Linked DNA regions of Astyanax mexicanus. The protein of the gene in region 2 purifies or fractionates together with the protein of the main gene of each other region. This does not show direct contact. Links are inferred from orthologs where the notes say so. Each region holds a gene or a part of one and is shown on either strand. Other genes may lie near its edges.

Evidence for each region.
Region 1: the proteins of upf1 (region 2) and stau1 purify together in Homo sapiens (affinity purification with mass spectrometry; 7 studies listed by BioGRID and IntAct, with this or other methods). This does not show direct contact. The link is inferred for Astyanax mexicanus from reciprocal best matches to the Homo sapiens genes UPF1 and STAU1.
Region 3: the proteins of upf1 (region 2) and gspt1 purify together in Homo sapiens (affinity purification with western blotting; 6 studies listed by BioGRID and IntAct, with this or other methods). This does not show direct contact. The link is inferred for Astyanax mexicanus from reciprocal best matches to the Homo sapiens genes UPF1 and GSPT1.

Annotation. Positions count from the first base shown.
Region 1 is NC_064412.1:10,366,409-10,374,496, forward strand, and holds the start of stau1 (double-stranded RNA-binding protein Staufen homolog 1), read left to right. Parts: upstream 1-4,846; 5' UTR 4,847-5,047; intron 5,048-6,992; 5' UTR 6,993-7,129; coding exon 7,130-7,325; intron 7,326-7,505; coding exon 7,506-7,627; intron 7,628-7,739; coding exon 7,740-7,917; intron 7,918-8,088. Other genes in the region: pbrm1l (polybromo 1, like), read left to right, coding at 1-180, 290-481, 937-1,101, 2,245-2,303, 2,785-2,989, 3,079-3,242. UniProt on the Homo sapiens protein: Binds double-stranded RNA (regardless of the sequence) and tubulin.
Region 2 is NC_064411.1:48,585,098-48,592,719, forward strand, and holds the start of upf1 (regulator of nonsense transcripts 1), read left to right. Parts: upstream 1-4,217; 5' UTR 4,218-4,409; coding exon 4,410-4,580; intron 4,581-7,622. UniProt on the Homo sapiens protein: RNA-dependent helicase required for nonsense-mediated decay (NMD) of aberrant mRNAs containing premature stop codons and modulates the expression level of normal mRNAs.
Region 3 is NC_064422.1:23,693,568-23,701,521, forward strand, and holds the start of gspt1 (eukaryotic peptide chain release factor GTP-binding subunit ERF3A), read left to right. Parts: upstream 1-4,712; 5' UTR 4,713-5,051; coding exon 5,052-5,214; intron 5,215-7,102; coding exon 7,103-7,144; intron 7,145-7,954. Other genes in the region: dmc1 (meiotic recombination protein DMC1/LIM15 homolog), read left to right, coding at 1-43, 493-537, 628-774, 894-976, 1,221-1,273, 1,359-1,400, 1,488-1,560, 1,646-1,737 and 5 more. UniProt on the Homo sapiens protein: GTPase component of the eRF1-eRF3-GTP ternary complex, a ternary complex that mediates translation termination in response to the termination codons UAA, UAG and UGA.

The sequences.
Region 1 (8,088 bases), on a different chromosome or scaffold from region 2:
GTCTGTCCAAAAAAGAAGGAGCCAAGCGCAAAATCAACATGAGTGGCTATATCCTGTTTAGCAGTGAGATGCGGGCGGTAATCAAGGCTAGGCACCCAGATTATTCTTTTGGAGAGTTGAGTCGTCTTGTGGGTACAGAGTGGAGGAACCTGGAATCCACTAAGAAGGGGGAGTATGAAGGTACATTCATCTTGATTTAGCCCTTGATCTGTTTTAATCCCAGCATAATCCCAGACAGCACAAATTGTATCTTTAAAAAGTTGGTATCTTGCATGCTGTCTGTACACAGAAAGGGCAGCTAAACTCGTGGAGCAGCAGGAGCGAGAGAGAGCCTTCCAACAGCAGCAGCAGCAACAACAGCAGCTGCAGCTTCAGCAACAGCAGCAGGCTTCCCCAAGAGCAGGTACCCCAGTCGGGATGGGGGTGGTGCCTCCCCCAACTGCTATGGGGATGCTAAATCAAGCCATGCCACCTATGCCAGGTAACCCCAAATCCCATTCAACCCCTTTCCCCAAGACAATCAAGATGCAGCATCTGGGCACCCTCCAAAAAATCCCTTCATCTACTGACCTCATCCATAACCCAACTCATTCCCAACATTCATCAGTTATAACACACACGCCAGCACCCCCAAGTGTATCTAATATGCTTTGGTTCATAATGCTGGCGATTTTGTATGTATTGAGTGTGTAATAATTGATACTACTTCTGTTTATTGTTTTTCTTTTTTTGCATGGTTTCTGTCTTTCTGTAACATCACATGCAAATACTACTTCTTTTCTGTCATTTGTCTCTCCTAGGTTTGACACTTATGGCTCATGTTATTCATTCTAACTCACTCCTCTAGACTTTTATTTTGTAGTGCATGACTCCAGACACATTTGCATGTCACCGATGCATGGATTCTTTTGTGTTGTCTCTCCCTTCTCACCCAAGGCATGATGGGAAATTATGGCCCACCCTTCATGCCTATGCAGGGCCCTCCTGAAGGCATGATGGGTATGGGTGGCACGCCTCCTCACCCTATGGGGGTGCCCCCGCTGCCCCCTCAACACTACTTTCCGCCGGGCATGGCTGGGTACCCTGGTATGCCCCCTCCTGGTAAGAACAATCCCACAAGCAAGCAACCCACCACCCAATCAGGGACAAAGTTATGTTATAGTAAACGTCACTTTTTTACCCTCTATGACAAGAATGATATTTTAGAAAAGTAGAAAAAGGTTATTTTTTTTTTAAATAAATGTTTTGAAGATTGCAGATAAGAATCTTATATAAAATGTAATTTCTATTTTCACTTTTCGTAGCAAACTTAGCATTTTAATCAGATGTTTTAGAGCAAAGAAGCATGTATTCTTCCTGCATAATGGTGCCTGAAGTTTACAAAATAAAAAATATTGGAGGATATAAACAGCAGAATATACTTCTCTACATATTCTTACATAAAGGATTTTTTTTTATTGGCATGTCGTGTAGTTTTGAGGCTGGTGTGGTGGTGTTGGCTATGTGTGGATACCTACTTATTTAAATATTTCTTCTAGTCCTTCTAAAATATAGGCTAAATAGATAGCTCTGTATAGGTAATTACAATTATATGTTCTATTTAGAACAAAGTAAATTAATAATATTTTTTTTTACTGATTTATTTATTTATTTATGTATATACTCAAATTAAAACTAAAATTTTTGACTAAAAAGAGAATCCAGATTTCGGCATGTACCTTAAACATCTGTGAGCATTATTAAAAACAAAAGCAAGAAAATTCTGTCTTAGACCATAAAGTAATGTGGTCTTGCATTGGTGGCTGGTTTGCAGTAATCCGTGTGGCAGTAAACTTTTTTTTTTATTTTATTTTTTTATTTTTTTTTAATATAACTGCAATTGTCATAATTGATTGATTTATTATTACAGGTAGACGAATCTGTCTCATTCTCCCTTTACTGTGATATTAAGTTGCTGATGATGGCAGTGGTTTATTGTAGTTATTTCTCACTTTCTCACCTATCCAACTGTTGGACTTCTTTACAATCTTTACAATTTGCACATGCAGTCACCTTTATTCTACTAATAAAAGTTAGTTCTGTAAACACCAACTAACACACCAAAGACACACATCACACTAATTTACACCTTTTAATCAATGTAGACACATTTAGCAGTTGCTATTTAAATAAGCAAATCTATTAATAATCTAATGGATCGCCAAACGTCACCATCATTTTCTTTTTTTGATCTTTTTTTTAAAGGTGTATTGGGCCCTGTTATGAATGGAAGTCCTGGTCCAGGAAATCCTTACGGCCTTCAGGTGAAGATTAATTTTAAATATAAATTTTACTATTTACTTTGCCGCTTGTACAGGTACGAGTAGTACAGGTACATTTGAATTTGTTTGTACTCATTCCTCAGGTCAAGCATTTTATAAAGTTTTAAGAAACCTATCCATATATACATATTGTCTGTAGATGACCGTTTAAATACAAGTGTGCAAGATATCAGTATGTCTACGATGAGCACATAATTACAAAATGTGCGGGTTATAAAACAATGTTGAATTTGTGTAACAAAATAGTGTATCTGCTTAATACAGTAGACTAATCATAGTTTTCTGTTATCTTATTATCCCAGTCTTACTGTTGTGTGCAATCAACCTAACTGAAAAAAGAAAAAAAGCTGATTCTGATTGGTCCGTGATGTCTGAGGCTGTTTTCTTGATGTATTTTAATTTTAGTTCTAATGCTGTCTATATGCACAGTGAACTGCAGGTCTAATGCTGTTTCCTTTTGTAGATGGGTGCATACGGTCCAGGGCAGCCAGCTCCACCGCCATATCCAAGCCAAGGTCAACCTGCTCACCAGCAGCCAGTCATGCCCATGTTTGTTGCTCCACCTCCCAAACCACAGAGGCTCCTTCATTCAGAAGCCTATCTAAAATACATAGAGGGGCTTAGCGCAGACAGCCCCACAATCAGCAAATGGGACCAGAGTCTTAAGGGTAATAGAGAAAATTAAGTGTCCAGATTGAAACCTGTTTATTTATTTTGAAAACATTGTTACAAATCAGTTTTTGCTTTTTCATTTTAGCTCAAAGGACAGACGGTCGCCTGAGCAGGGAGCAGGAGAGCCGTCTTCCTTCTCACTGGCTGAAGAGTAAAGGCGCTCACACCACAATGGCTGATGCGTTGTGGAGACTCAGAGATCTGATGATGAGAGACACTCTCAACATCCGGCAGGCCTACAATCTATAACCCTTTAAACTTTTGATGCTCAGGATCCTAATTTATGCAAGACTATACTTCAAACCAAATCTAATATCCTTTCTAAAGCAGCTGGTTGCTCAGTATGTTTCATAGCAATAAAAGAGTTCATCTTATTTTGTTTAGAAGTAAAGGTTTTAGTAATATCCGTGGTTACATTTATTAATGCACTGGAGTTGTCACAAATGCATTAGCTAATTTATAACTACTGATATGGAGTTGTCATATCAGCAGTGACTGAAATTTTTAGAAGAATTAAGATGAAATATGGTTACGTTGCTTCATTGTTTTGATCAATACATGTATTTTATTGGCTACACTTTTGTTGAGTTGAACAGATGTGTAGCGCTAACATCTCAGACACTGATATCTATGAAATATGTCTCTGGCTTTAACCACTTGAGGTCTTATTTATGATGTGAACACATCAGGTGGATTAATAATACAACAAGGTCGTATTTTACCAATCTTTTTTATAAAGGTGCAGAATAAGCTCTGTTTATCATTATTTTATTGATGTGATGTTTTTTGCATTTTGTATGGTCAGAAATAAGGCAGATGTGTGAGTTTGTACTTCAGTCCTTACCTGAATATTTCCACATAAAATTGACAATAAGAAAATACACTGTTGGTTTCTTTTCTTTATTTAAGCAATCGTGACTCTTTGTCATAAGGAGTATATTAAAGCCTCAAGAGTTGTACAAACAGTAGCAATAGAACTTAAAATGCAATGCCAAAGGGAGAATGGTTGTGGATTTAAAATATAATTGTCAGAAAAAATTACTGACTTCAGCAAGATGTGTACAAGAAAACAGGGTTAAAACATATAATATAATAATGTAATATGTATGTTCTGTATGCTTGTATTCAAGGATCGTTTCAAAAAGAGATCTCAACCCAAGCTTTTTACTTAAGTTATTGTATAAAAGTACTGGTTTAGCTATAGATATATAACAGTACCAGTCAAAAGTTTGGACACATTGTTTTGACACCAAAGCTGTACAGTAACATGTGGAATCATCCTGTAAACATTAAGGGTTAAACAAACCAGAATGTTTTTTTTTTATACTTTAGATTCCACATTTAGATACATTACCTTTGATAAATACAGTACTACTTCTAGAATGTTATCAAGAGAAAGATGGATGGTCTCAAGCGACTAAACAAAGCTGAACTGCTTGATTTTTTTTGCATTTTGCACTCAAAGGCAGCGTGTAAGTCTGGTGGAGAGAGCATGCCAAGACATGAAAGGTGTGATTAAAAATCTGGGTTATTCCACCAAATATTGATTTCTAAACTCTTAAACAATAAGTGTTAGTGTTTCTAAATGAATATGAGGTTGTTTTATTTGCATTTTTTGTTTGTTTAGATTATTTGTTTCTCATTTTCTGCAAATTGCTCTAAAAGCTCTAAAATGAATATTTCTGCTTGGAACTTGGGAGAAATGTTGTCTGTAGTTTATAGAATAAAACCACAATGTTTTTTTTTTTTTTACTCAAACATTTAACGTTAGCTATAAACATTAAAATAAGAGAAACTGGTCATTTTGAAGTGGTCTCCCCCCTTCTCAAACCTGCCTCGCATGATGTCACATCCTGGAAGTGGGCGGAAAAATAGGCAATTCTCTTTAGTGTTTGCCCTGTCCACCTTCTCCGCTCTACCTCACCTACATTTTAATTCAGAAACCCCCACAAAAAGCCTCCCATAAACCTGGATCTAAAGCAGGCCAGTGCTAAAGCTCAAACCGCGTCACTCATGGACTAATTCCCGGGCGGACCTGCAGTATATAACCCGAGGTGAGGAGCGGTAATGTGGCGGCGCTGAGCTGCAGAGCAGGGAGCAGAGCCGCTAGGTTAACTAACGCTAGCTCTGTTAGCTAGCTCCTGCTTTTTTTAAGCCCCCACCGGCAAATACCACACTGTACAATCCTGTACCTATAATAATGCGTTAACTGTGCGTGATGGAGACGTTTTATAGGTCTTAGACACGCAGTTGTCATTTGGCTGAAGTCTTGTTTTGTGTCTTAGCTGGCTAACAAGTTAACGTTAGCTTAGATAACCTAGCCATAGCTGTAACAATAGCTAGCATGCTAACCCAGTCTTTAGCTAGTTAACGTTAGCTATTTCCATCTGTTCTCTCTGTTTACACGGTAACAGTGGCTGGCTAATGCTTTAATTTAGGTTTACTTTATTTTCCTGGCAGCTGACACATTAATAATACAGTATATGTATGTATCTTGAGGTTTAAAGTAAATGTAACCTAGCTAGGATAGCTATTGTTATCTGTCAAGTTGTAGCATATTAATAGGTTTGCAAGCTTAACTAGACCCCTATCCTTGATTTAGTAAGTTAAAACTAACGTTATATATATTTAGCTTACGTTACCTAACCTAGCTGTCTATTTTTCATTGTATATTAGCTCCGTCGTTCTGTGTTGTCAGCTGCCTGACACTTATTCATTAATCTAACTAACTAACTTGCCCCCTATCCTTTCTTTAGCAAGCTAAAACTATAGTGAGCTATATAACAGCTCTGGAAAAAAAGAGACTACTTAATTATGTTTTCCCCTTGATTTTACTTAATTAAAAACATCTGTAATATAATCAAGAGGAAGATGGATGATCACAGCCATCAAACCAAGCTGAACTGCTTGATTTTTTGTTTCACCAGAGGTGGCATAAAGTAATCAAAAAGCAGTGTGTAAGACTGATGGAGGAGAACATGCCAAGATGCTTTAAAATCTAATAAAAAACCAGGGTTATTCCACCGAATATTGGTTTCTGAGCTCTTGCAACCTTATGAATATGGACTTGATATCTTGATTGTAGTTCAGGGGTTTTCAGTTTGGTAAAATCAAATAAACTCATCAGTTTTAAGTGATCTCTTAATTTTTTTTGCAGAGCTGTCTATTTAGCTATCTAGCAACTAGCTTAGCTGTCTAATTCCCATTGTATAACTTTGTTGTCTTGTGTTGTCAGCTGCCTGACACATCATTAATCCTTTTACCCTGGTCTTCCATGGTCAAGACAGGACACCAAAAAGACCACCAGAGAGCAGCTAGGCTACACAGAGCTAAGCTACTTAACTTAACTATTGTTTGGTGGTGGGTCATCATCAGCATTGCACACAGTGATTCATTGTCATACTGACGTGGTGGTTATGTGTTAACCTAGCTAGCTAGCTACTGTACTCGTGTTGTTTTGAATTAAGTGGATCAAATAAACACCTCACCACCTCACTGTCACTGCTGGACTAAGAATATTCCACCACCCATAATTATTTAGACAACAGTACTGTAGAGTACAGTTTGTGTGTTCCATTTGTGTAGTAAACTAACAAAAAAAACTAAAATGGATTTACTCCTTTTACAATGGACAGCTAAAATATAGTCTGTAATTAGTTATAGAACTACAAAGTGTTCTTGTATGAATAGAGCTTGTAATGGGCAGTGAGTGTATAAACAAGAAGGTGGTCAGTCAATACATCAGGACTTTGATGGCGAATAAGCACAGGAGCAGTTACTTTTTGTTTGCCATCCCTATCATCAGACGTATTCTTCTCAATGTTATGTAAATGCATATTGATATGCTTTGATTTTTTATTTTATATTTACATTAGGTAATAAGGTCTTAATCTCCATCATGTACGGAGTGTATTTACTGGACACTTGAATCTCATTGCTGTTGTACGTTGAATTATTTAAACATCCTTTAACATTTTTTTTATTCCTCACTTCCTGCAGGTAGAGCTTTGCAGTCTCCTTCCATTTAAAACACCTGCATTCACCTTTCCCTTGCACATTCTTGCAACCTCTCCTGTGCGCTTTTCTCCCTCCACAAGACTGCAAAGCATCTTCTGTATCCACACAATCCAGTCAAAATGTCCCAGGTTCAGTTCCAGTCCCCCACCACCACCACCACTATGGCCAGTTCTGCCCCTGTACAACTGACCCCACCCCAGCCTGGGTTCAGCATTCCCTCTCCTTCTGGCTCCCTACCTTCAGAGAGTGCCAGTCATCCACTACGAAGCTCCGCCTTGCCCTCAGCCTCAGCCACGCCCTTCTGTAACCCTACAGGTGAGTGAAATGTATATAGAAGACTAAATATAGTAATTACGTTATAAAGATGTGGTTTTAGTGTACTTTAGGCTCAGAACCTGTTCTGAATGTGGGAGTTGGTCAGATCTTCTCAAAAATACAGAAGTTATAGAATACAATGTAGCCTAATATTACTGTTTCCACTCTGTTCTGTTTCAGTATCTAACATGGCAAACCCTAAAGAGAAGACCCCCATGTGTTTAGTGAATGAATTAGCCCGTTACAATAAGATCCAACCTGAGTATAAGCTTCTCAGCGAGCAAGGACCAGCCCACTCCAAGGTACCACATACACATACAGTTCCTGAGACTTCTCTTCTGTTTGCTTAGATTATTTCTGCATTCATGTCCCTCATTTTTGTCTTTCTCTGTCTCTGACTCTCCTCTGTTTTAGATATTCTCTGTGCGGTTAACTCTGGGGGAGCAGCACTGGGATGCAGAGGGGACCAGCATAAAGAAAGCTCAACACTCTGCAGCAGCTTGTGCTCTTGCCCAGACGTCGCTGCCCAAACCCAGCAACAGAGGACCTCGCCATCAGGGCAGGAACCCAGGTGGGTTCTACAAGGGCGAGTGTACGTTCTGTTACATTCAAATTCTATAGTCTGTGGCTTCCTTACCATCTTCAGTCAGAAGAACTAATGCATGTTTGCTTTAAATAGCCTTTCTTTGATAAAACTTTTAAAATCTTTACTGGTTCTGATGGCTTGTTTTAGTTTGGATTTAACTTGTCATTATTTCAGTAC
Region 2 (7,622 bases):
GATTTGATGTGACGGTGACAATAAAAGTATTACACATTTTATTTTCAGTTAAAATGAGAAGCTGGAGTGTTCAGCTTTAGCACAGACACTCATGTTAATACTGAAAGTGAAAGCACGTGTTGTATTTGGTGGGAATGAGTAACAAGTGGGTTGTGCACTAAAAGAGTGGGCTAAACAAGTGGGGGTAAGGATAGAAATGTCAGCCTGTACAGTGCCTATGGCAATGAAATATTAGCTAGCTCTTAAAAGTTATTAGATGTTCTAGGGATGCACCGAAGTAAAATGTTTGTGCCTAAACCGAAAAAAAAAGACATTTTTAAGTTTGCTGCTTTTTACAAGTAAAAATATTAAGTAGACTTGCTTTTCAAAGACACACTAAAGATTTTAAATATCCCAGCAGACAAACCAACCAAGAACTACACTTTACCTCAGTAGTGCTATTCTGGCCATACATTTATTTCAGCAGTGCTGTTCTAGCAAGTCATAAACTTAAATTAACATAAATTTCTAACTAAGTAATTATCTTAATATATAATTATATAATATATAATTATATTTTTATATATTATCCCTGTAGTTTGCTCACTCTCTACACATCAGCTTTGCTTTAAAAAATCCTAACATTAGAGTAAACACTGCCGTTTTACTTCAGTGTACCTTCAGTAAATTATTCTGTTTTTATTTTTTTGTCTGAACACCTAAAGTGCTTTTTATTTGCCATTTTTGGCTGAATTCTTTCGGTTGCCAAATATTCTGTGCATCCCTAGTAGTATCTTTTTTTTATTATTATTAATGATGTATTTGTAATACATGATCATGGTCAAAGCACACTGCTTTGAAAATCCTGTTGCCTTCTGCTTTTATCAAGGGTCTTCTGCCAACGTTGTACACAGCTAACTCTTCAGGGCTACTACAGCTAACTGTCAGCCAGCTTTCCTGTGATAAATGAAACTGTGAAATCAGGGTTGACCTTTATAACCTGTTGTTTGTCATCTCTCAGTGACCTTTTTCCACACAATGATGTCAGAGTTCACATTCTCAAGCATATATATCACTGCTGTCTTAATAAATAAGCATCTCCAAATTAATGTATATAATGCTCTTAATATTTAAATAGGAAAAAATATAAATTCAGAATTTCTGCATAATTCAGTTCAATGATTAAGATATACACAGTCATTCGGAGTGATATGATGTTAAAGAGAGACTTATTATGACTTTGCAATAGTAAGTACAGTGTGATTTGAATTCCAGTGGTTTTGATTTAACACAGCATTTATCAAAATCAAAACGCAAATCACACAAATGTGTATGTTGTATAAAATTGGATAATTCCATTCAAAACTGAAATATAATATAATATGCTGAAAATAATATATAATATAATATATTTGTTGGTTAGTAGATATGGTGCAATCACGTTTAACACCTATAAAATTCAACACATTCTTCAATAACATATCAGGGTTATGCAGTGTTTGTGTTGCTGAATAATAAGCTAATTAAAATATTAATGTATTAAGGTATTAGCATGTTTGTGTTTATTAACTCACACAACCACTGTGAAGAGTTCTGACCTGGGAATCAAGCATTTGACACTCTGAATGTCTTTTGGTATATATCTTAATTATTTAATTATGCAGAATATATTACCCTTAACTTTAATGTGAGCAATTCCTATCTCTATTTCTATTTCAGTTTATTGAACCGTTTTATATGACCGCAATGATATTAGTAAACTTATGGGCCTGAATTGTGCCTATATAAGTTATAGAAATATTATAGCTTTAGGAAAGTTTTAGTTTCAGGAAATCCTGGAAGTGGAAGAATTTACTTTTATTTACTTAATTTTCAGTCTATTTTTTTTTAAAGGAGCATTTTTGTTTATTTGTTTGTCTGTTTATTAAAGAAACACTGGACCAATCTGGAACTGTGAAGCTGGTTGCTCCAGTTTATGATGTCTACCTACCAACAGTCTTTCTCATCATGTCACGTTTAACCTGTGGAGTGGTTTGTTATTTTCAGCTGTGAGAAAAAAAAAATGCTTGTGAACGCTTTATTGGAATTAAATGGATTTTCTGCAGGAAAAAATGTGATTTGATCTACGTCATGATAAATAAAGACACTGTTATTTAACAAATGACACACAGAGTTCAATTCAATTTTATTTCTATAGCGCTTTTTACAACAAAGCTGTCACAAATCAGCTTTACAGAGAAAAACAGGTCCACGCCCCTTCCGAGCAGCACCACAGAGATGCCAATTTTTATGGTGACACAGTGGCAAGGAAAAACTCCCTTTAAGAGGAAGAAACCTTGGAAGGAACCAAGACTCAATCAGAGGACCCCATGCTACTTGGGTTGACCCGCTTTACATGTTTCATAGCTTGGCCCAAAGTTTACCCTGAAGTTATAAAGGGTGTTGCAGTCATGACTGTAGACTGTTTTTTTTCATGCAGCTAGCATTCTTAAAGGCATGGTTTGTTTCAGGTTAAGAAAATGTTGGAAAAAGGTAAGATGAAAATGAATTGTTTCTGGTTTTAGTACATATACCACACAAATGTCATAAAATACAAGAAACATGAATTTGACAGAAAACATTTTAATGCATTTTACCCGAATCACAGTTCCTCACTGCACATTAGGCAATTTGGGATCACACTTCTGAGTGTGAGAAAAAAAAGTAAATCATTTCTGCACTCTGCTGTGAACATTTTATTATTATGTTTCTAGATTTCATGCCCTTAACTACAAATGTTCAGTATACTAGGTACTGAATATTTTTTTAAAAATGTGATCGGGACATACCTAACTACAAATCCAAACCAAGTCTTAATGAACATTTGCTTACCTAAGGGCTGGGCGATATTATAAAAATGATTTTTTTTAATATTCTTCATTTACAGCAATTCTCAACTAGTTCTAACATAACTTCAGTATTTTGTGTAAACAGTGATTCGCAAGCCATTGTTTTCATTGCATTAAAACAGCAATTTCGATTACCCAAGTTAATTTGATTAGCTTACCCCATTGGCAGATTTTTTTTTTTAATATAAGTATTTACCTCTCAATATAGATAGATTTTGTATAGTTTTGCCAATGGATTTTTTTGCAGTCTATGTTTGATTATTAACTGCTTTAAATCCGAAACAAGTGGCATCAGCATCGTCTTTTCCCTTTTTTCTTTTTTTTTTTAGTTTTAAATCTTCTTCTGAATTAAAATTCACATGATCAATCCAATCAGTAGCAAAACATAACAACAAACATAAACATACATATAAATAATAAATGAGAGGGACATTTATGAAAATATTCATAGGGATTTGCAAATATTTGCAGCCTTTCTGTTTGTCCAATTTGTACTCTATCCAAGTATAGTTTGAACAAATGAAATTATGGAGTTTCCTTTCCTCGATTTTCAGATTTTTCCATTTTTGTATCTTGTATCACAAATCTGACCGTATAATCCAACTAATTTTTGTTACAAGATGTAAAAAATGGAAAAATTCAAAAATAAAGTTTTTTTCCCTAAAATTCTGATTGTGAGTGGCAGAGAAGGAAAACTAAGCATTATAAAAATTGAGTGAAAACTTATTTCTTCTACACTGTACTAAATGTGAAAAATAAATAATGAGTTTTTACATGCAAGTTAATTTTTTTTGCATCTAGCCTCAAACGGTCAGAAAATTGAATTAAGTAACGTTCCACTGACCGTGTAACACAAATCTAATGGTATAATCCTTACAAAATGCAAATTTGAAAAATCAGAAAATAAAGAAAAGATTCCTTTTTAATTTTTCTTAAAAACCCGATTGTGAGGTGCAGAGAAAACTAAAATGGGAAAACGTATTTCTTGTACACTAAACTACATACAAGTTAAATAATTCGTTTTTACATCTAATTTTACATTGTTTGCATTTAGCCTGAAACTTATCAATAAACGTTGCACTGACCGTGTAGAACAAATCTGATGGTATAATCCTTGCAAAATGCAAAAATGTGAAAATAACGTTTGTTTATTTATTTATTTTTTTATTATTATTATTTATTTTTTAGCGGCATTTAGCCTCAAACGGTCAAAAATGTAATTAATAACTATTTATTTTATTAGTGCTATGATAAATGTCTCTTCTCTGAAAATGTGTGCAGGTCTGTGTGGACGTCACGCGCCCGCCCTGCGCTCTACGCCAGCAGCTCGTGCGCTGCTTGGTGCTTACGTCGCCGTTTCGAGTGGGAGTTGGAGCGAGTGTGCTTTCATTTGAGAAACGTCGTTCTGCTCCGAGTTTAACGGAAAACGGGCTCCGCGCACGGACTCGGGCTGCGTTTCTGCACGTTTTTCAGCGCGCTGGTCTCGGAGGGGGTCGGTTTGGAAGACAGACGCCGCCGGTCACGATACGAATACAGGAGAATATGAGCGTAGAGGCGTACGGGCCGAGCTCGCAGACTCTCACCTTCCTGGACACGGAGGAAGCGGAGCTGCTGGGAGCCGATACCCAGGGCTCGGAGTTCGAGTTCACCGACTTTACCCTGCCGAGCCAGACCCAGACACAGGGCCAGACCCAGAGCCAGCTGGACAACCAGGTCTCTAACTCCCATTCCTCTGCGTTTGGTGGAATATTAGACCGCGAGGTGGAGTTGGCGTGGGGGGAAAACGGAGCTGGCTAGCGGAATTAACGCTAAGCTAACCTGTTAGCTAACCTAGCTAGCGGGCTTGTTTATTTTCTGCGTGTTAAAAAATAGCGCTTTAGCTTAGCTTAGCTTCGTTAGCATCCAGGCTAGTTGGCTAACCTAGCCTAGCTAACCGTGCCCGTGTTAATAATGGCGTAACCTAGCTACCTACGTTAGCTTAGCTTAGCTAGCTAACGCGCTTTTAGCCTCGCTGACATTTATTACAGCTCTGGAAAAAAAATACCACTTCAGTTTGTGAATCAGTTTCTCTGAGTTTTGCTATTTATTGGCATAATATTTAGTAAAATGAAAAATGTTGTTATTCTATAAACTACGGACGATATTTCTCCCAAATTCCAAGTAAAAATATTGTCATTTAGAGCATTTATTTGCAGAAAATGAGAAATGGCTGAAATAACAAAAATATGCAAAGAAAACCAGTTCATATTAGTAAAGTTTTAAGAGTTCAGAAATCAATATTTGGTGGAATAACCCTGGTTTTTAATCTCAGTTTTTATGCATCTTGGCATGTTCCCTCCACCAGTCGTACACACTGCTTTTGGATAATTCCTAATGCAAAAATTCAAGCAGTTCAGCTTGGTTTTATGGGTTGTGATCATCCATCTTCTTCTTGATTAACTTATTCCAGAGGTGTTTAAGTGGTCGCTTATTTTTTCCAGAGCTGTAAACATAGTTACCTAGCTAAGATATACTTTAGCGTAACACTATATTCTAAACACTACTAGCTGGACTAATACAAAATATCATCTATTTATTCCTGTTATTTAGGTTTAAACTGCATATCAACGCTCTAACTTTCAGCTAACAGCTAGCTTTTTGGCTGGTTTGGCTAAGCAGTCAGCTTTTGGCAAAAGTTAGCCAACGTTAGCTAACGCCACAACCGCTGGCAAAGCCATGCTAAGCTAGCTAGCCTAGATAGCTAACTAACAAACCACCCTAGGCTACAGGTAACAAACTAGGAACTCCTCGCTCCAATATAATTTCAATTTACACTTAAAATTAATTTAAAGCATTCTTTCTCATGTTTACTCCTGCAGAACATAAGTAAACAACCATTACTCATTTTAACCCATAACATCCCAGACCCACTTCTCAATATTGATGCCAAATTAAATTTAGTCAAGTAGTTAAATTCTTTTTTCATGTCTTTTAATATTAATCTAATTTACAATGTATTACATATGTCCAGCACTCTACTGGAAAATTTAAGTTTTATTTATTCTATTTCTTAAAATAATGTCTTATGTTTTCCCTTTTATTTTAATGCCTTTTAGTGTTAATCTTAATATTAATAATAAATAAATTAAGAAAAATATTGAATTTTTACCAGACTTTTTACTATTACTGTATTTATGTAGCTAATTGTATGTATTTGAGTGTCGAAAAAGAAGAATTATATATTTTTTGGGGGAGGAAAAAATATAATATTTGGAAGCTTGTCAGTCACTGTCGATATAGCAAACTCAAATTTAAATTTTGACTTTATAACACGCTTGTAATTTGAATCGGGTGTTTTAGATAAAGAAAGCACCCAAAATGCAGGGTAGTAGGAAGAGGTTTTCAGGAGCAGAGATGAAAGAAAACCACTGCTTTAACATGATTAACAAAAGTGGTCTAACTGCAGAAGAAAACAATATTTTTAGTAAGTTTACAAGAAAAATGTAAGAATACTAACAGCCAAATGTACATGTTCCTGCACATATACATAGTTAGAAACCCCTTGTACACATCATTGTTTTGAACATAGATATGCTATGTAACATTATATTAAAAATACATAAGGTATTGTATGGCATGGAAAGGTGCAATAACCGAAAATTATGCCATAGATGGTTAATGTAGTGTTAATGGACTATGTTTTTTCCTTGAATCTCATTTTAGTTGATAATTTTGCAGATTTCATGCCTTTATTTACAAATGTCCAGTTTACCGGATACTGAATATTGAAATGCATATTTAAAAAAAACTAACATGCAACATTTATTTATTTTATTTTTATTTATGTACATTTTATAATTTTAAAGACTGCAATGCATATCATTCAACACAAATGTTTTAATTTTTTAAAGTGGCTAAGGAGGTGGCAAAGCTACATTAGCTATAAGTTAGCCAGCCAGCAAACCTACCAAGTCTATAGGAGAGAATTTCTAAATATTTCTCTAGCTAGGTTTAAAGGGGACATGAAACACTTCAAGTATTTAGTTTAATTCACAAGATGTATTTTCACTCTAACAAATTTTAGAAGTTTAACAGTTGTCAGTGAAGCGGAATTAAAATAATAAGCAATCTAAATGTCATTTTTTTAAGTAAGGGCAGCGCCATCTTGTCCCAGCGCTGAAAGTGACGTCACGAGGTTGGTTCTCGCACGCCTCACTACTATAATCTATGAGAATACCGTAATTTAGCTCCTCAATAAATAATAAAATCCAAACCAAAACTCAATGCAGAGCGGGGGGGCACTTTTGTATTGCCCCTGTGTGTAGTAATATTGGGAGTAGTGAAATTTAATAGGGTGAGGAATGAGAAATATTTACTTTCACTTTCATACCCTCGCAGCGCTGAATCGTGAGAATCCTCCGGTTATCTGCAACGCTAGGGGTTAGTGGCGAGCACTTTCTAGACCAGGACTATGTGAAGGAGAGGGGTTTGAGTCAGGAGCATTAGCGCCGGATAAATAAGCTGCAGTCCGAGGCTTTTTTCCTCCGTTTTTTATTTTTCCTCTGATCAGCTGAGATGTACAGACCGTCTGAATGGGTAACGTTACTATGAGAGCAGCAGCTGTGAGCCGCACCAGCCAAACAACACGCCCACCCAGCAGAGCAGCGAGAGGTACCGTTGCCGAAAATCTAGATAAAATGACAATTTAAAGATAACATAGCTAGCGTTAGCTACTTAGCTAGCTATCTTATTCTAGCTAGCCAACGCTAGCTAACT
Region 3 (7,954 bases), on a different chromosome or scaffold from region 2:
GGACCAGGTGGTGGAAGATGAGGCAGGGTATCAGGATGATGAGGTGAGGTAATGCTAGCTAGTGTGTTAGCATATAAGTAGCATATAAAGTCTTACCTCAGTTTTTACTAGTGAAACTCTAATCACAGTTCTCTATTAATGTAGTTTTTACTAGTATAAACTATAATTACAGTTATCTGGTAATGTAGTTTTCGCTAGTATAAACTCTAATTACAGTTCTCTATTAATGTAGTTTTTACTACTATAAACTCTTATTTCAAATATCAGCAATAAAGTAAAAAAAAAAACACTAAAAATCATTAACTCAGTGAAACACATTATTATTATATATTGTCCTCACAAATACACTTGAGTAGAAAAGGGAGTCTTATAAATTGAAAGTACAAATCCATCAGTTTCTCTTAAGCACATTTACAGGTTACAGATTTAGTAAGTATACCTAGTTACTACTGACTACTGTTGTCATCTTTTGTCTCTGCCTGCCACCTTCAGGAATCTTTCTTCCAAGACATTGATCTACTTCAGAAGTATGGGATTGTGAGTATATATACAATAATTACATTTTTCATTGATAACCACAATATTATATATATTAGTTTTCTCATTCATGGTGTTTTACTTCCACAGAACATGGCTGATATCAAGAAGCTAAAGTCTGTGGGAATATGTACAGTAAAAGGGATCCAGATGACAACACGGCGTGCACTCTGCAATGTTAAAGGCTTGTCTGAAGCAAAAGTGGACAAGATAAAGGAAGCTGCTGGGAAGTTGTTGGTAATCTTCCTTTGCAGTCTTCTTTTGGAAGTGTTTTTAATTAACTATTGAATTGGTATAGATACAAAACTCAAGACCCGAGTCTAGTTTTCTGGGGTTGTTTTTTTGTTTCACTGCAGATCTCTGGATTTCAGACAGCTTCTGAGTACAGTATGAAAAGAAGACAGGTGTTCCATATCACAACAGGCAGTCAGGAGTTTGAGTAAGACGTAAATTACTGTTAGACATTTAGCATATCACTCACATAAGCAGTTATTAGACTCATTTGGACATTAACTACTTTTCTGGATATATCTTTAATATTAAAACTGTTACATCACACTGCAAAAGACAACAACACATATCCCTCTATCATTTAAATAAAGTTTTTACACACAATTTGAGTAATATGTTGTTTCTATATTATGAAATATCATAACGAAAGAGATCATTGTATTTTTTTTCAGTAAACTTCTTGGAGGGGGAATAGAGAGCATGGCAATTACTGAAGCCTTTGGAGGTAAGCTGCAATTTGACATTGTTACCTCCCCCCTGCCGTATTTTGTCTTTTAAGCTGACTCTTTATTGTTTTAACATTTATCTAGAGTTCAGAACTGGAAAGACACAACTCTCTCACACACTGTGTGGTAAGTCATACAAACATCCATGTAAGTATTATGCATGTTGTGTCTGAGTTAAGAATGAACCTCCGTCCTAAATCTTGCTCTCTGAAGTTACCGCTCAGCTTCCCGGTGAGGATGGGTACACTGGAGGGAAAATCATTTTCATCGACACTGAAAACACTTTGTATCCTTCATAGCTTTTCCTGTGTTTAATGCATGTAATATAGCTGCTGTTGTTGTGGAGTTTTCCCTTTATTAGTAATGCTCAGTCGCCCAGACAGGCTAAAGGACATTGCAGACAGATTCAATGTGGATCATGAAGCTGTGCTTGATAATGTGCTGTATGCCCGAGCCTATACCAGTAAGACTTTTACATCACTTTTAGACTAACAGAGTTGCTGTCAGTTTGTTTGCAATTACTGTTCTGTATGTCAATATTTTAGGTGAACATCAGATGGAGCTATTAGACTTTGTTGCTGCTAAATTTCATGAAGAAGCAGGGGTCTTTAAACTGTTGGTGAGTGATATAGGAAAAACAAAACATTATATCATTGCTGTCCTTCAAATCACATGTATGTTTTAGCATTTTATAGTAAATGGACCAGAATAATGATGTCAATAATTTCCTTCCCTTCTTACATTTTAATTTTGGAAATACATGGATTTGTTTGCAAAGCGACAATATAGGAAGTGCACATATAGTTGGGTTATTGGTTCACTGTTTGAGGTGTGATTATTTGTGTGCTGAATCATTTAATCTTCATTTTAACTGGATAATTATTGAGTGTTTTTTCTTTAGATCATAGACTCCATCATGGCTCTCTTTCGGGTGGACTTCTCTGGAAGAGGTGAGCTGGCAGAGAGACAGCAGAAACTGGCACAGATGCTCTCAAGGCTTCAAAAAATCTCTGAAGGTCTGCAAAGTGTCTCCGTCCTTACTCTCTTTTCATTTATTGGTGTAAACTAATGAACCGACCAATTGTTTTTCTGTTTCAAGTAACTGTATCTTTTTGAAAGATACAGATTGTCTTAATATACAATATTATTGTCATTTTAACATCAACATTTTATGCCACTGATATAATAATTCTATAATAGCTTAATAATGCATTTACGCATTACTTTCAAAGAGCAGTGAGCTTTTAATTATCAGGAATAGTCAGACAAAAAAGTTTTAATATCCTAAATAATTAAACTGTAAATAAAATAAAACCAATGTTTTTAAACAAAGTTAATTAGTGTTAATAGGTTTGCATGCTAAGTAAGCACAATGTGCAATATCAAGGGCAGCACAAATGATTGAGGTCCTATCCATATATTGTCAATAAGACCTAGAATAATTAAGCAAGATATAAAGGAAACACGCTGGTATAAAAATTCAAAGATATTGCTCAATTCATTTGATAGAGTACAACGTTGCAGTGTTTGTGACCAATCAGATGACAGCAGACCCAGGAGCTGGGATGACGTAAGTGTAAAAAATAAAACAACTTTCTGTAAACTTAGTAAGCTATGATTAGTCTCCAGTGACTGTTTAAATGACTAGTGACTCTGTTAAAAAATGGAAGCTGTATTATGGTGCAGCGGCTGACGTGAAATCACTTTGCTGTAGATTTCAGGCAGATCCCAAAAAGCCCATAGGAGGACACATCTTGGCGCATGCCTCCACTACTCGTCTAAGTTTGAGGAAAGGACGTGGTGAAATGAGAATTGCCAAAATATTTGATAGGTAATTCATTTTTGTGACTATACCTCTCACATACATTTAAGGTAATTAAGAGCATAAACTCAAAAACCTGTTACTTGTGATTGACAGATTGACATAGCTTTCTTTTCTATTATAATTAGATGTATTATTACATTGCATTAAAATGTTTTATTAAATTAAACAGCATGTTTTTAACTCTGCTTGTCTTCTTTCTTTAAGCCCCGACATGCCAGAAAATGAAGCCACTTTTGCCATAACACCTGGAGGAGTAGCAGATGCCAAGGAGTAAAGGGACCACTCTGTGTCCTACACACAGGGTTAAATAAGATTTAATAAATTTAGGTTAACACACATGTAATCTTAATATTTATTTATTTATTTATTTATTAATAGTTTACAGATAATCTGGTTCTTTTTATGCATTAGGGTAAAGTTTGATGTCATTTCAGCATTGATTGTGTACTGAGCTATGCTTGATGTTTTTCAATAAACTGTTGGAACTGTTGGTTACTTAGTAGCTGAAAAATCATTCTCGTCTTTCGCGTTTTTGTTTAGCTTGGTCAATAAGTAAATTTAGTGACATAAAGAAAAATGTTGTTCCCAAAGTGATCCAAGAGAGCCCAACTATGGGCTGATATACACCAGGTGTATACCTTATAGCAATGCAAGGCAATGTACATCACTTCTCCATAGCAATGCATAGTGATATAAATAATTATTATGAACAGATGAAAAAGAGACACATAAAATAAATTGAGTGAAAGGCTTCCACCTTTCTTTTACATAAAATGGTTCATAGGGACTTTCAGAGTTCAAGTTTGTATTGTTTATCTGATTTTTTATGTTTAATGTTGTATTGGTTTCAAAGTAATTGCCACATACAGGAAAATAGCACATTAATTAATCTCAAAAACAAGCAAAACACCTTTGTTGGTAGCACACCCAAGATAATGAGCACCAGTGTTATAAGCTCTTAAAGATTCTATAAAATAAATAAAGCAATAAAACAGAAGTCTAAAAAATATTACATATCTACAAGTCAGTCAGATTTAAATATTCTACTGCCTTTTCCCACATTTCATAGTAGAATTTATATTTTGGGTCAAAAGAATGAAAGTAAAATTGTTTTCTTGCCTATTAATGCAGAAGATAAAATCGTTTAAGCTACTACTGTGCTAGGTTTACATATAGAGGTGTTACCTAAAACATTAGATAAATGTTCAATAATACTTTTCCAGAAAGGTATTACACATGGGCGTGAACATAATATATGGAGAAGTGACCCTTCTTCTTTTTTTACATCTCCAACACAGATTTGACACATGACCTTTGATTATAACCTTAAAAACATTATTTACTGACTTGAATCCAAAAACAAACTTAAACTTAAATTCACTGTGACTTTTATTCTCGCTGCTATAATGTAAAATGCTATATTTATACAGGATTTTTTTTATTATTATTTATTTATACATTTTTATCTTAAGTAAAAGAATGTAACGTTATGATAAAATGTTTTAGAAAGGTCAATAACCCACTGATATATGATATATTTTTGTTGTTTGTTTTGTTTCATAAGAGTGACGTCATGCAGGCTCGTGTGAATGAAAAAAATGAACGTGAAACTTCTCAGAAATGGATATTTGTGGGTTACTTTGAAGAGTTGCCCGTTTGGTGGCCATTTTCGGAGATCGTGTCCACCACGGTCGCTGTCTTCACACACCCCTGTCTCTGGGTTCGCCCATGCAGGACTGTCTGTGGTGGTGCTGCTGCTGCTGTCGTAGGGAAAAAGAGCAGGCGCCTCATGCCGTAGACCAGCCGCCCCTCCGAGCCTCTCCGCGCCCCTGAGCCCGCACGGTGACCCGGGAATAGCTGGTAGAATCAAGGCAGGCTGTTTAACCGTTAGTCAGGTGTTGGCTTTCTACTCTAAGTTATCTGTTCGGCTACAGTACGGTAGTGGAGCACTAATGGACTCCAGAGACACAGCCCCGGATAGCTGGGAGCAGGAGGACGATGTGGAGGCCCCGGACACGGAGCTGCAGTCCGCCTTCACCGGCCTGAACGTCAACGCTCCTGAGTTCGTCCCTTCCTTCATCCCCAGAGGAAACGCTGGAAGCGCTGGGCAAGACGGTAAAGACTGTCACAGGGCTCGAACAGACGGGGTTCAGCGCTGAACGCCAGCCTGCGGGTTCACTGCTCTGGCTAGCTAACCAAATGTTAGCATTAGCTAGCTCCGAGAGGTGGGTAACCTCTCGGAAAAATCCATCCCAGGTTTTTGTACCAACTGCCTGGGTGGCTCTGTGTATAGCTTAGCTGCAGCAGAGCCGCATAGGCAGTTGGTACAAAACCCTGGGATGGATTTTTACTTTGTGGCCCTGGGTTACCCACCTCTACTCCAAGAAGGATGTCGCTATGGAGAGTGTTAGCCAGTTAGCTAACAGTTAACTTAGCTAGCTAAGACGCCGCGATAAACAGCTGTTCACATGAAAACAAGCATTTTAAGAGATAAACCAGCCTGTAGGAGAGGACAAAGTGTAAGAAATAAAATGATAACACTCTTATTCGTCTGTATAATAAATGTCCAGATGTGTCGTGACACTACAGGCGTGTAACTTTCTCCATTTATAGCAGTGGTGGAAATAAGCAGCTAGCTAAGAGTTACCTTAACGGGCCAACAACAGCGTTCATTCTGAGGCTGGCTAGCTAGTTCACGTAGTTAACATAGCTAGCTAACAGCTAGTCGTCATTAGATGTAGTGCTGTTCTAATAAATTTATCTATTTAGATAATAGTATGGTAGTTAGTTATACCAAGTCTGTTTTCAATAGTGGAAAATATTAGCTGAAAGCTAGCTAGGTTTGTAGTTAACATCACAGTAGTGACAAACAGGTGTTCTGTCGAGTTATGCTACCCATCGATACGTGCTTCATAAAGGCACTGCGCATGCGCTGACGTACACGTTTTCATTATTTCTCGTGTTTTTTTTAAATAATAATACACCTGGACTCAGTCATTGCACAAACGTGTAAATGGAAATTAATAATATTAATTAATAATTATTAATAATATTAATACTTATCAATAAATTAATAATAACAAATACAAGAATTATTATTTAAAATATTTATTATAAATATTAAATAAAAAGACGAAAGCTGTATGTAATGACTTCTCATTGCCATAACTTGACCATGATACAGTGCTTTATGCTATACAAATATACTAACGCTACCTCTACTGGGACTCCTACTGGGAACATGCTCTAATATAAGTTCTTCTTTTGTATATTTACAGTTAAATATACACTAGGGTAGCATGGTTTGACAAGGTAGCACAACTCGACAGAACACCGGGTTAGTGTTAATGTATTGCTGGATAAAGCTGATCTGTGTAGTTTGTGCCACGTAGCTAAACAGTATTGTTATTTAGTCTAGCTAACTTGCTATTAACAGCTATTACTTGAAAGCTAATTATCAAAAGCTAATATATTCTGTGGGAGGGAGTTTCATGGTTTGGCAGTGTACCTACAGTTGAATGCAAAAGTTTGGACACCCTTGTTTAGTAACTGGCTTCATAAGACCTCCTACAAGAATTGCATAACCCTGTTATATTACTCCACTATCTCAATCCACATGCTTCTCTCACTACATACATTGGTTCTGTATCTCTCAGCTTGTCAACAGACCCTTGTGTACAGCTTTAATAAAGAATAAATTGTATTTACTGCAGTGGTGCAAATGTGGATTACACTCTCCAAAGCACAGGGAGTTATTCTCTGTAGATGATTTGTTCACCTATTTATACCTAGAAAAAAGCTACAATTTAAAGTAGCCTCACACCTTTTGTGCTTTTGTTATTCTGTGTTTTGACGGTCTTATACATAGTTGTGTATAGAATGTTCTGTTCAAATCAGTGTTTTATTGGTCAAACACATTTAACAGCATTACTACTACACTGTTACAAAAGCTGTCAGTTTATTTGCAATATGAACTGAGTAATTGCATTGTATTTCTCCATAGGTACAGATGCAGTTGCACACATGGAGATTTCGGAACCAGCAGGTGGGTGTTCTTTTATTTTTAAAAATGTGTATATAGATATTTTTCGCCTGTTTTTTTTTTTATCAGCACAGGCAAGTCACAGTTGTCATGTTCCTGCTGGTTGAGGTGTTGCTGTACTGTTTCTTCATTAATGTTAGTTCAACCATACAGAGGCCATGTGGAGACTGTTACATCATCCTTGCTGTGCACCCCATGTGTACTCAAATTACATGCATTCTCTCCACTTAACTTGTGCAAGCACAGCCAGCTACATAGTGAGTGAAGTCATCCGGTTCACAGCAGGTTTATCTATCTGTAACCAGGATAATGTGATGATTTGGCCCATGTTTAGTATCTTCTCACATTGCTTCTGAACAGAGGGAATCAAGGAAAATAATTGTAAAATACTTTGAGATACATTTTGTAGACTGTCCTCTCAGTAATGAGTGCAGTTTAGTAAAAAGCACAGCTTTAGGCAGGTTATTGAAGTGTGTAATTCCAGTGACCAGATCACAAGCATGTTGCTTAATCTGTTGCCAATGAAACTCTTTATCATAGCATTGTTAAAAAAAGTTTAACCGAACATGTGGTCATCACTTCAGCTCAGAAGAATAGGTATTCTGGCTGACCCAGGCAGGCCTGAGGTCAGCCAGGGCCAACCTGTCCCGCGGGATCAGGAAAGCTAAGAGGCTGTACTCAAAGAAGATTTCCCAACACTTCAGTGACAGCAGAGACACACAGAACCTGTGGCAGGGTATCCAGTCTATCACAGGCTATAAACCACATCCACAGACCTGCGACAGCGACACGTCTCTGCTGAACGACCTGAAT